Linked DNA regions of Coturnix japonica. The protein of the gene in region 3 interacts with the protein of the main gene of each other region in a biochemical or structural test. Links are inferred from orthologs where the notes say so. Each region holds a gene or a part of one and is shown on either strand. Other genes may lie near its edges.

Region 1 (3,857 bases), on a different chromosome or scaffold from region 3:
ACACCCTGTCGGTGCCCCCTCCCCAGCACAGCTCCATGCCGTTCCCTCGGGCCCTGTCGCTGTCACACCGAGCTGAGCTCAGCGCTGCCCATCTGCTCCCTATGAGCTGCAGCTGCCACGAGGCCTCCGCTCAGCTCCTGTGCTCTGGGCCGAGCCCCCCCACCCCCACCCCAAACACGCTCAGCCCCACACCCAGCCGTCCCCATAGTCCCCAGCCCCGCCCCGCTACTCACGTTTATACTCGGCCATCAGCCTCTTTAACGCCGTACCCGCCATAGCGCGGCCCGCAGCGCCCCGGCCCCGCGCCGCTTCCGGGCGGGCTGGAGGGGAGGAAGTAGATAGGGGGCGCGCTAGCACTCCGCCTCTATGGTAAAGGGGGGGGGGGGGGGGCTGAGTCCTCCCAGCGCATGCGCAGTAGCACCAGCGAGTTGTGGGCGGGCCCTCTCAGCCCAGCTGCTCTGCTCACCCCACCCCCCCCCTTCCATTCAGGACACTTCTCGTTTGTGCATTAAAAAAGTATATTTCAGACAACTTTATCAAATCATGACAAAGCACATGTCAATCTGCAATCTTCCAAACTGTCTATACGGAGCATTGCGTCTCGCACGTACAGACCTCGTGTCGTGGGCTTCACGTTTCCCAGCGACTTCAATCAGCGTCTTCTTCCTCCTCTTTTAAAACAATGAGACTCATTAAGCTTGAGATCGGCATGAAAATAGACTTATTTACAAGGGTAGGATGGAACAGAGGGGCAGGGCTGACAGCCAGGAATGCACTCCATGTCCTCAAACACGGACAGGGTTATTTAGGCCACAGGTTTGAAAGGGAATAAACCAGGAAACAGCAGACAGACAGACAACGTGTAGCACTGAATCGGAACTCAAAAATCAACTGGGCCCAATTAAAGATAAGAGATGAATCCCTGCAGATACTGTGTCGACTTGCACACGCAGTACGTCAAAGACAACAAGCGATTTTGGGTAAATGTCCTCTAAGGTTTCCGAGAATCCCGTGTGATCGGCGTGTTCATTTGTTCACTATTTGATAGCAAATCCAAGGACAGATGAGAGCGAGGTGCGATGAGGAGCCTCTGTGCTCCAAAGGATGCCATGTCTTAGCACAGCCCGCCCGTCTGCTGCTGGAACACATCGATAGTGTCTTCGTCTTCCATCTCCAGCTGTGAGGGTGATACGGAGAACACGAGTTCACAACCATAAACTTATAATAGAGTTACACAGGTTTTGAGATCTCTATTTCAAAGCAGACTCAGAACCCAGCCATCTAAAAGCAACCAACTCAGATGTGTTTCTTCTGTTCCTCACCTCAGGCCTCGTCAATGCAAGAAAACCCTTAAATTCTGAGCGCTGACTGAGCTGGCAGCAGCTACAGCACCCAGCTTTAGTCCTGGCTGTATCCAGACATGGGACAGAGCTGAAGAGCTCAGCACTCCCTCCAGGTCCTGCCCACAGCAGCACACAGGTGCCAGTGTGTTTGGCACCATCTGTTCATGCACATCTCCCACCCCAGCCAGCATAAAACACATATGGAAGAGACTGAAGAAGAAGCACAAAATGATCTGCACTAAAAGCACCTTTCATACCTGTGCAGGTGTGTCTGCTTCATTAATCGGCTGCCCGTCGAATCTGAATCTGATCTGCCTCATGGACAAACCCTGCCAATATACAGAGTGACACATGTGAGGAACCAAACCGAGACACGTCTGAATCCAAACAAAGCACTGACTGATTTAGTGCCGGGACGCATATTAACTAAATTAACATGTAATATAAGCAGATGGGGAACTTCATGCCTCTGTTGCTGTACAGGAGGGTGCAGAGCTGCCGGATGGATGCTGTGGCAGTGAGGGCGCACTCCATTCCATCGTAGATGTCATTGATAGAGATGTTAAAGAAAACCGGTCTCAGGACAGATCCCTGGGGGATGCCGCTCGTTACCGGCCTCCACCTGGACATAGAGCCATTGACCACCACCCTCTGTCTGCGGCCTTTCAACCAATTGCTTATCCATCTAGTTGTCCACCCATCAAATCCACCTCCCTCCAATTTGGAGATGAGGATGTGATGGGGGACCATGTTAAAGGCCTTGCTCAGGTCCAGGTAAGGTCAGGTGCAGGGATGGGGCAGAGCTTTAGGAGTGTGGAAGCAGAGGAAGGGCTCCACGTGCAGCAGCACACACACACAGCGCTGCCCGCACTCAGTGCTGGCTGTGGCCCCGTTGTACACACACCTGCCGCTCGCAGTAGGCCTTCATCAGCTTGCTGAGAGGCGTGTGCCGCTTGATCTTGAACTGCACGACGGAGCCGTCCTGCCCGGCCACCTTCAGGTTGATGTGGTCGTTCTCTGTCTTCACTCCTTCCTGAGGGGGGACAAACCGGACGAGAGCGGCGATCATCGCAGTGCCAGGCCCGACCCTCCCCCCCTTATCCCCCCATAGCTCATCCTACGGCCCGCCCCGTGCCCGCAGAGCCCCAGCCCTGCTCACCTTGGGCTTCTCCTCCGACATGGCGGAGGGTCGGGCCCGGGGTTGGGTTCGGTTCGGGCCCGTCCCGCGCTGCTCCCGCCGCCAACAACCACCGACCGCGAGAGCGCGCGCCGAGCCGCGCCCCCGCCACCCCGCGCCAGCAATCCCGCGTTCTGATTGGCCGCACGGCTGATCACGTGGGAAGGAGGAGGGTGAGCGACAGCGCGCGGCGCGGCGGCTCTAGAAAGTGCGTCACTGGATACGGCCCAGTACGGCTATAGCGCCCCCCAGCGGGCGGCCAGAGAACTGCACCGAGCGCAGCACCGGCTCCTGCCCTTCAGAATAAAGCGCTCACGTTGGGATAGTAATCAAATCGATTTAATACATCTTGACCACATCGCATCAGAACCCTACCGTATTGCAATCAGTAACAGGCACCGAGCCCAGGAGATGATCAATATAAGGCACAGAGGTAGAGGGGGCTGTGGAGGGTCCCTGGATTAGTTGCAAGTGAAGCGTGCATTTAGGGCCTGCCCCCAAAGGCCCAAGGCAGCGAGAAACTGGTGCTGGTGTGTGAGTGTATGCATAGAGCTGCAGGCAGACAGGGCACCCCTGAGCCACTGCTGCACACAGGGACATGAGCATCACAATGCACGCACCCAGCTTTGCATAAGGCAGAAGGAAGACACACTAGGCCACCTCAGCCAGGCACCGTGTTGTATTGTGCTGTGCTGCCACCCCCAGGTGAGTAAAGGAGGAGTGTGAAGCCCCAGTGTTATTGCCACCAAGTTTCCAGGCACAGAGTGAGGTTCCAGCCCGGCCAGGCACTGCAGCTGATCCTGGCACTGCAGCTGATCCTGGCACAGCCTCTGCAGCAAAAGCCCAGGGCAAGCTGAGAACTGGAGTGGGGAATGGGGGGAGTCACTGAGCAGGGCTTGTGGCAGCATGTGGCACCATAGGGGGCTCCTAGAAAGCAACCCAGAGTGAGGTGGGTCTAGAAGGAGGACGCCATTCACCAGGTGGGGCAGATCCAGAGAGGCTAGTTCTCAAATTTTGCATAAGGGTTCTCCTCCTTGAACAGGCCTGGAAGAAAAGAGAGACACTGAGAGTCACTCATTGCTCTGGGTGACAATTCTTTCACTAACCATCCTCTGCTCACCATCCTGCTCTAGAGACTATTGTACTATTGTCCTCATGGAAGGATGCGCCCACACCACCTCAACTCCTACCCCTCATGGGATATACATCAAGCTCTGTGTTCAGTCCTGGACCCTTCACTACAAGGAGGATGTGTGTCCAGCAGAGCTGAGGGGTCTGGGGCATAAAGTGTGATGGGGAGCAGCTGAGGGAACTGGGATGGTCACACTGAGGAACAC
Region 2 (4,209 bases), on a different chromosome or scaffold from region 3:
CCTTACAATGTTAAGTTCTTCACACCTCAGTAAAAATGTTGGATTTAAGTTGTGACAAGCCCCAGCACAACTACAATTCAACTTGGTGCCCTGCAAAAACAGCTCTTGCGCCCTTGCAGATTTTTAAACCTAGGCCAAAGGAAGCTCTTTCTTTTTGTTTAAATTAAATTATTGCTGAGCAAATAAACATGATGACTCATTTCCCACAGGGCTCTGGGGCACAAGACAACCTTTGGGCACATCTCCCCAGCCTGTTGATTCTTTGCTTCGCAGTGGATTCATCTTTGATACAGACAGGATTAGTTCTTCCTGCCCTGAAGCTCAGAGAATTCTGGCTCTATAAACAGATATCGAGAAAAACACAAGTATACAAACTGATAAATCAAGGTTGCTAATATATAGAAACTATGGCTGCCTATGGAAATTTTGTGTCTCAGCGGACACTAAGATATAATGGACTTCCAAGAACCAGAACACTGTTATTCTATTTACCCCCAAGTCATACACACTCTTCACTCCTCTGACAGGAGCAATACCAACAGGAGACCACTGAAGGGCTACCCAGCTTGTAGAGAAAGATGATCCTGTTTACCAAAGCATAATGGCAGAGCACAGTTATTCTGCCTACAGACAGCTTGTGAGCCCTGCTGGAAAGGAAAGTGGGTGACAACTGTTTCTAAGAGTTCTGAAATGTAAATTCTCTTCAGTTCTCAAGGAACTGAAGAACAAACTAAATTGTGACCACATTAAGACACATTAAGACACTGTCTTAAAAAAAGCATAACACCATGGTGAATACTTTGATACAGAACTAACATACAGATGTAGTGATCACATAAATTTGCAGCTACTGTATGGAGGATAGAAAAGCTCTCCCAGTCCTGCAGACACACAACATGCGCAGGTCTTCCTGGCAGCTGCAAACAGAACAAGTGTGGAAAACCAAAACATGTGTCCAAACACATATCTTAATGAAATGTTACTAATGCTCAGTTCCAGCAGACAGCTTCCAGTTCTCTTGCATCCAACCCAGATATCAAATGCAGTTTGCTCTCCCAGAGTATGCTTAATGCCTGCAAGGGAACGCTGCTGCTTGCTGCCTGGTGCCCCCTGCTGCCTGGCACAGACACCACAGCCGGGCCCAGCACGCAGCTGCTGACATCAGCAGCACTTCTGTAGAGGAGTCTCTTCAGTTCAGTGCCTCTTCTCATGCCTCTATTTATATACCAACTTTTTTCATATGCCAACCTCAGTTTCAGTGGTTTAAATACGGGCTGTTTACAGCCCCTCTTGACTCCTGCACAATTACAGAATAGAACCATCGAATCTCCTGAGTTGGAAGGAACCCCAAAGAATCACTGAATTCAACTCCTAGCTCCATGAAGGGTCAGAAGTCAAACCCACTTCCCGCACACACAGCCCAAACGCATCTCGAGGTCCAGCACTCAGGACCGTACCCACTGCGCTGGGCCCATTCCATGCCCACCACTCTCTGGTGCACAACCTTTCCCTGCACCCCAGCTGCCCCTCCCCTGGCACAGCTCCTCAGTGTCACAGGGAGCACAGCTCAGCACCGCCCCTTAGAGGAGCTGCAGCCACCACGAGCCTCCCCTCAGCTCCTCCGCTCTGAGCAACCCAAGGGACCTCAGCCACAACTCACACACGTTGCCCTCAGTGCCCTCCCCGTTTCTGCTGCCTTTTTATGGCTGCTCTTCAATAGCTTCATATCTTTCTTACACTGCGGTGCCCAAACCTGCACGCAGTGCTTGAAGTGAGGTTACACAGCCAGGTGCAGAGCGGCACAAACCCCACATCCCACCACCTGGGTGAGCTGGGCTCGACACACAGCACTGCTATACGAAAACACCGTCAAAGAATGACCCAGGTTGGAAGGGACCTCAAGGATCATGTAGTTCCAGCCCCCCTGCCTGGCAGGGCCACCAAACATACACATTTACTAGATCAGGTTGCCCAGGGCCCCGTCCAACCTGGCCTTGAACACCTCCAAGGACGGGGCATCCACAACCTCCCTGGGCAGCCTGTTCCAGGGCCTAACCACTCTCCTAGTAAAGAACTTCCCCCTAACATCCAACCTAAATCCTCCCTCTTTTAACTTAAAACCATTTCCCCGTATCCTGCTACTGTCAGCCCTTTCCAAGAGTTTACTCCCCTCCTGGGATTAAGCTCCCTTCAGGTATTGAAAGGCTGCAATGAGGTCACCCCGCAACCTTCTCTTCTCCAGGCTGAACAAACCCAACTCCCTCAGCCTGTCCTCATAGGGGAACGATATAGTGAAGAATCTGGCTCACTCCTTCTTATACGAGAACATAAAATTTCTCTTAATAAAAGACCAGCTGTACATCAGCAGCACTACGATGGGCCACTGCCCAGGGCTCCAGAGAGACACCCCCCGTTTCCCCCATACAACCTGCACACAAAGCAGCCATTCACTCCATTGGGTACCGGCCTCTGTGCCCAGCTCCCGCCCGGTTCCGTGGGTCAGAACCCACAGGACTCGTAACAGACACGGCCCCTCACCAGGCCGTACAGGCCGCATCCACAGCGCCCACCAAACCCCAACCGGGAGCGGGGCGCGGCCTCCTCACCACCTCCACACCTCACCTTGAAGATGGCGTAGCCGGCAGCGGTCTCAAACAGCACCAACATGGCGGCAGCCAAGAAGGGCCGGGGACAACCGGGAGCGGCGGCAGCAGCACGGCCACGTGCGCGGACCCACGGCGCCCACCCCGCCCATGAACTAGAGTGGGCGCAGCGGAAGTGACCTCACCGGAAGGGGAAATGCTGGGCAGCCAGTTCCGCGCGCTCCCGCAGGCCACGTGGCGCAGTGAGCGCGGCCGGGGCTGCCGGCTGTGACACTGTGTGCCCTGGGCACGGCCGGTAACGGGGCGGTTCCCTAAAGGTTCCACCGCGCTGTGCCTCGTAGCTGTGCTCTACGAGCTCCTGTTTGCGTATAGCGGCCTTATGGGCTGTGACCGTGTGCTGAGCGCAGCCCCCATTTTGTTGGGCTCGCTCCGTGCGCTGCCCGCCGGCTGGGGGCGGTGCTGGGCCGCGGTTGGTGGCCACGAGGCAGCGCCGTGTGTCCGGCCTGCAGCGTGTGGGGCTGCGGGGGAAGCAGCGCTGCGATAACGGGGTTATTCGCGTTATGGCCGTGGGAGTTGGTTGTTTTCGGTGTTATAATGAGCATTTAATAGCGTCACTGAACAAGCAGTGCTCAGTGCAGAAGGTCAGGCAGGTTCACACACCTACTTTCAAAGCCCTGTTTCAGTGCTGACAGCCCAGGCTGGAGCTTAGAGTGTTATGTTCATCCTTTTTGCTCCCGAGCAGCTGTGCCAGCACTAGGAGCCAACTGGCTGTTCAGGAGCCTGTGTTAGGAGCCAAGTGGCTGTATCTGATGTTCAAGAGCCTGTGTTTGGTTGGTGAAAGAGGTGTTATGCAGAGGAGATGGGCCACAGATTGTGAGGGAATGCTGCGGCCCTTCCCTGCTCAGCTGCATCCATGGCCTCGAGTAGAGCCGCACCTCAGCCTGAGCTAATGGAAGGGACTCCAAGTGACTGAGATTAGTTGCAGGGAGAAAATCAGAGCAGGAGCAATACTTCCCATAATAGCCTCGCTTAATTCCCAGGTGGTTGCAGCAGCGATGGCTTTGAGTGTTCTGATAAGAGCCTTACGTGTGTGTGCTCCGTTTTTCTTTAAAGCAGCATTAATGTGGTTTAACTGCAAATATATGGGATATAGGGTTTATGCAGTTAAAGGAGAGAAGCCTGGGCTTGGTCTTTGCGTTCCTTTCTCGCGGGTCGGTCGGATCAGCTCCGCAGCGCTAACGCTCCTCGTGCCCCGGGGCTGTGACTTCCTTAACGAGGCGGAGCGGCGAGTCGGCGTGTTGTGCGACCGTGCACATGTCAGAGCCGCGCCTTTGTTCTCTATGGGGGAAGGCAGCTGAGTTCTGGCTCGAGCGAGCGTGCGCTTTAACTGCAAACTGCGTAGGAAACGTTGTTAAGAATCACACACAGGCTTTATGCTAGAGCCACACCGGCACATGGCTACAGCTGTGTCTGTCTGTGAGTACCAACAGCGAATGGGGTGAGGTCTGTCCCGTTGTTGGTACCGTGCGTTGTTTTGAAGCCGACTGGTTGGGGGTTGGGATCGTTACCGCACTGCCGCGCTGCCCCCAGCGGCCATGCCGCCCTG
Region 3 (4,115 bases):
CCCTTCTTCCTTCTCTCCTCTCCCTTCTTTTTCCCTAAGTCAGATCAGCCTGCACATCCACAGTCCATCATTTCAATAGTACAATCCCTGCTAGAACGTAACTAGAGTTAAAGCTTTTTAGAAGGCACCATTAATGCTCTGTGCAGTAAACACACACAAAAGAAGCCTGCACTCATTCTCATGTTCCCAATACATACACCAGTGTCCTGGTTATGTAAGAACACTTGCAGGACTTCACACCAGAACCATAGATAACACTTCAGCTTTCAGCCAACTGTCCAGCAAGAGAAGCAGAGCATCCCAAGAGAAACCAGAACAAAACTATAAGGGGAGGAATTTTATTCCATGAGCTCACACCCCTCCTAGAGATTTTAATTAACCAACGAACATGTGACAGAATTTCAGCTGTGCTTTTAGCACCTGGAGACCAAATCCGAACACTTTACAATCATGATTAACAAGGAGATATCAAGATAGCCCTGACCAAGAGATAAGCATTTGTATTCTCAAATTAGCTGCCAGGTACGTATATTTAGTCTACTTAATATTTGCCATTCCAGTCCCCTGAATATTAAGGCCACGTAATGGAAATCCGATAAACACTGATACTTGCCAGGGATTTAACAGCAGTCACTTCTGGCACATCTAACCAGAGTGAGACTCCTAAACACCTTGAAGAAATCAGTTCTATTACACTGTTTTATGTATTAGTAATCATTAGCTGATCATTAGCTGATACTTTTAACTTACCACAACTACATGAAGTTTAGTGGCTCTTGGTTTGAACTTTTGTTTTTCATTATGTCAAGCAATAGTCAAACTTCACCTCATTATTTAGTAATGTTGAACACAACTGGGACAGAACAGCTCAGCCCCGTCTGAGCTTGAACTAATGCCTGTATTTGCTCTCCCTCTTCTGCAAGACTCCGGTTCCAATGTCTCAGGCAGGACTTAAATAACTGCAATTATCATCTTCAGGCAGAGTGCAGCAGATGGACTGACTGCACTGAGCCAGCAAACCAACCCTATCCAAACTTCATTTTCACCTTACCAGAAATCCAGATTTTTTTGGGGGGAGGGAGGTGCAGTTTTCCTACAGGTTTTTGATCTCAAAGTTGCACAGTTCTCCCATGTGACTCCAGGAGGGTGAACAACGGCCACCACGGAACAGATTTTAAACACTTGGTTTATGGATTTTTTTTTTACACTTGTTTCAGATATTGCATCCCATTGACTTTCCTTCCCTCACCTGAGAAGGTGACTGAATGAACACAATTAAGTCCCAACTTACTGTATGGGAGAGGTCCATCATTAGAAAGAACACCAAGTTCTAAGCTGGAGAAAATCCATCTCTGTCCTCCCATTCAATTTAGCACTATTCCCTCCTGCACACACCAGCACCAGGAGGTACCAACGGCCCATTTATCACTACCAACTCACTAGAAACTTCCCAGAGTGCTGGTAGCTCAGCTCTGTTGCTGGCACTACCTGCACTGGGACCAAACCCAGCCCACACTGCTGTGCCATCCATCCAGCAGCCCCAGCACAGCACAGTGCTCCCATAGCACAGTGATCACCGCGCCTGCATCCCTGCCCCATTACAAATCTGTATATACACAACGTGCTCCTTCATTCTCCATTCATTCAAAAATCAATACATGAATCAAATCGTTAAGACCGATTACATTACGAATCAGAAGCAGACGCTGTAAGGATCGTTAAACCTGCGCTGTTTGCCGGGGCAGCTTTCCTTTCCTTTCCTTTCCTTTCCTTTCCTTTCCTTTCCTTTCCTTTCCTTTCCTTTCCTTTCCTTTCCTTTCCTTTCCAGTCAGAGAAACTCAATGGTTGAGGTGGAACCAAATCGCAGCGCCTAAAACTGCCGCACAAAGTCTGCAGCGCAATAAGCGGCTCAGGCGGCACCGACCCGCACGGTAGTTCCGAGAACAACAAAAGGAACCGCGGGGCGGCCCAGCACGGAGCGGCGCAGCGCTGTCCCGGCCGCCGCCGCCGCCGTTGGTCTCGCGAGCCCCGCGGAGCGGCCGAGGCCTGTGTGTGCCGGGCGAGCTATTGGCGGGGCGGGGAGCGCTGGGCGCAGCCGGTCGGCGCACGCAGCTCAGCCGCCGAGTGCGCCCCGTAGGCGGCCGAGAGCTGAGCGGGCCGCGGCGCAGGGACAGAGCGGAGCCGTCCCGAGTTGGGCAGCCAGACGCCGTCAGGCCCGGCCGCGCCGACCGGGAACCGCCGGGAACCGCCGTGCCCGCGAACCGCCGCAACGCGAGGCACCGGACCAGGCCGCACCGGGCCGGGCCGCACCGGGCCGGGCCCCGCCGCCCCAGGCCCCGCTCCCGGCCAGGCCTCACCGTGCTCGGCCGCAGCACCCGCGTGTGTCCCGGATTGAGGCAGCGGCGAATGACCCGGATGTTCCCGGCTCCGCTCCCCCCCTTTGTCTCTGCTCCGGAGTTTCCCTCCCTCTCCCTTCCTCTCTCCCCCTCCCTCTCTCGGTGCCGTTCGCTTTATCGCCGTGTGTCCCTCGGCCCGACCCGTCCGTCCCGCTGCGCAGGCGCGGTTCGGCAGGACCTGCGGGCGGCCCGACAGCGCCTGAGCGGGGAACGACACGAGGCGGAGCGGATCCGAGCACGGCCCGGCACAACGACGAGCCGCCACGGAAACACGGGCGGAACTTTTACCTCAGGCGCTGTGGAGTCAGCCGTGCCCGACAACCGGCCCGAGAACACGGCGGGGCCGGCCACTGCGCCTCAGCTCGATAGGACCCGCCCACCGCCACCACCCGCGTCTCTGATTGGAGGATGGGGAGTCGACCCTGAGCTGTCATTGGGCAGAGCCAGGAGGGGGCGGGGCCATCCCGCCTGCAGGGGGTTCGTGTCGCTGTGGGTTTGTTTGGAACATTCACGTTTAATGTAACGAAACATGTCGGGTCTTTAAACCTCTGAGCAGCATCCGGCCATGGTCTGTCCATTGAACTGCACCGTATATAGCGCCTTAATACCAACCATGGCTTATCTTCCCCTCCATTCTGCCATCATTAGGCATTGCCATAAATAAGCACTTATATATTGATGGGACAACAATGATCTCCTGTCAGTACCCATAACACAGCACAAAGCAAGGTGTCATCAGGCCAAAGCTCTGTGTGAAAAACCAAGGGCAGGAATTATCAAATTCTACTGATAAAGACACTATGGCGGCGATGCAGGGATGGGTGCGGAGCCTTCATGGGCTGAGGGTTTAAAGGCAGCTTAAATGAGGGTTCTAATGTGCAGCCACTCCCGTGTTTAACCAGGAGGGTGAGCCCAGTGCTCCGGCAGCTCCTTCCCTGGTTTGATTTATTTATTCTCTAAACAATCCACGCTCACATTTCAATTTAATCTCGGTTTAACTCCACAGAAACGATGGAGGAACCTTCCCCAGGTTGGTCTCAGAAAATAGAAACAAACCAGATCCTCAAAACACTTGTCGTATTCTCACCCCATCTTCATTGAGCTTCTCTCATTCAAGAGGAATTGTCTTCCCTTGGAATGAATATCTCCTTTTCCTATACATGCTTTACCCCACTGCACAGCACAATGATGCAAAATAGGATGTCTCTCTTTCTGTGGGCCCTCCTGCCCAACTTTCTTCTCTCACCCTAACGCACAAATACTTATGGCATTAGTTACTGTATTCCTTTTAACTAGTAAATGCTGGAGGAGAGATGGAGAAGAGCTGTGTACAGAAAGCATCCTGACCATCACTAATGGAAGATGTAAGGAAAACTTTAAACATGCTTTGCATTTAAAACTGATTAAAACTATTAAGATGAAATTCACCTCATTCTTAATGGTGTACCCCCCTAAGATTCCAGAATTCATTAATTGGCTTATTTACATTTCTTATTACAAAGTGTCACTTTCAGATTCATTTTTCAGATATAAGTATTTCTATTAAAAATCTACATACTGGATTCAAAAAGTAATCAGTGAGGTTAGGCAGGTTGATTTGTTAGCTCCGTGAATGAAAGAAAATATACACAAAGTCATTAATTAAAACTTGACACTCTTCTTGGTTATATACCCATCCCAGAAGGGACAATTTCCTGCTATAATGATCAGTGACTGTAT

The links. The genes of interacting proteins can lie anywhere in the genome.
Region 1: the proteins of UBE2I (region 3) and small ubiquitin-related modifier 3 form a complex in vitro, tested with the Homo sapiens proteins (2 studies listed by BioGRID, with this or other methods). The link is inferred for Coturnix japonica from reciprocal best matches to the Homo sapiens genes UBE2I and SUMO3.
Region 2: of the proteins of UBE2I (region 3) and NOP58, one has a biochemical effect on the other in vitro, tested with the Homo sapiens proteins (2 studies listed by BioGRID). The link is inferred for Coturnix japonica from reciprocal best matches to the Homo sapiens genes UBE2I and NOP58.

What each region holds. Positions count from the first base shown.
Region 1 is NC_029524.1:3,984,174-3,988,030, reverse strand, and holds small ubiquitin-related modifier 3, read right to left. Parts: upstream 2,646-3,857; 5' UTR 2,524-2,645; coding exon 2,503-2,523; intron 2,377-2,502; coding exon 2,248-2,376; intron 1,673-2,247; coding exon 1,601-1,672; intron 1,178-1,600; coding exon 1,115-1,177; 3' UTR 501-1,114; downstream 1-500. Other genes in the region: UBE2G2 (ubiquitin-conjugating enzyme E2 G2), read right to left, coding at 234-276; PTTG1IP (pituitary tumor-transforming gene 1 protein-interacting protein), read right to left, coding at 3,521-3,564. UniProt on the Homo sapiens protein: Ubiquitin-like protein which can be covalently attached to target lysines either as a monomer or as a lysine-linked polymer. Does not seem to be involved in protein degradation and may function as an antagonist of ubiquitin in the degradation process.
Region 2 is NC_029522.1:10,249,820-10,254,028, reverse strand, and holds the start of NOP58 (nucleolar protein 58), read right to left. Parts: upstream 2,801-4,209; 5' UTR 2,668-2,800; coding exon 2,623-2,667; intron 1-2,622. UniProt on the Homo sapiens protein: Required for the biogenesis of box C/D snoRNAs such as U3, U8 and U14 snoRNAs. Part of the small subunit (SSU) processome, first precursor of the small eukaryotic ribosomal subunit.
Region 3 is NC_029529.1:7,278,757-7,282,871, reverse strand, and holds the start of UBE2I (SUMO-conjugating enzyme UBC9), read right to left. Parts: upstream 2,801-4,115; 5' UTR 2,685-2,800; intron 2,492-2,684; exon of another isoform or gene 2,358-2,491; intron 1,964-2,357; exon of another isoform or gene 1,686-1,963; intron 1-1,685. UniProt on the Homo sapiens protein: Accepts the ubiquitin-like proteins SUMO1, SUMO2, SUMO3, SUMO4 and SUMO1P1/SUMO5 from the UBLE1A-UBLE1B E1 complex and catalyzes their covalent attachment to other proteins with the help of an E3 ligase such as RANBP2, CBX4 and ZNF451.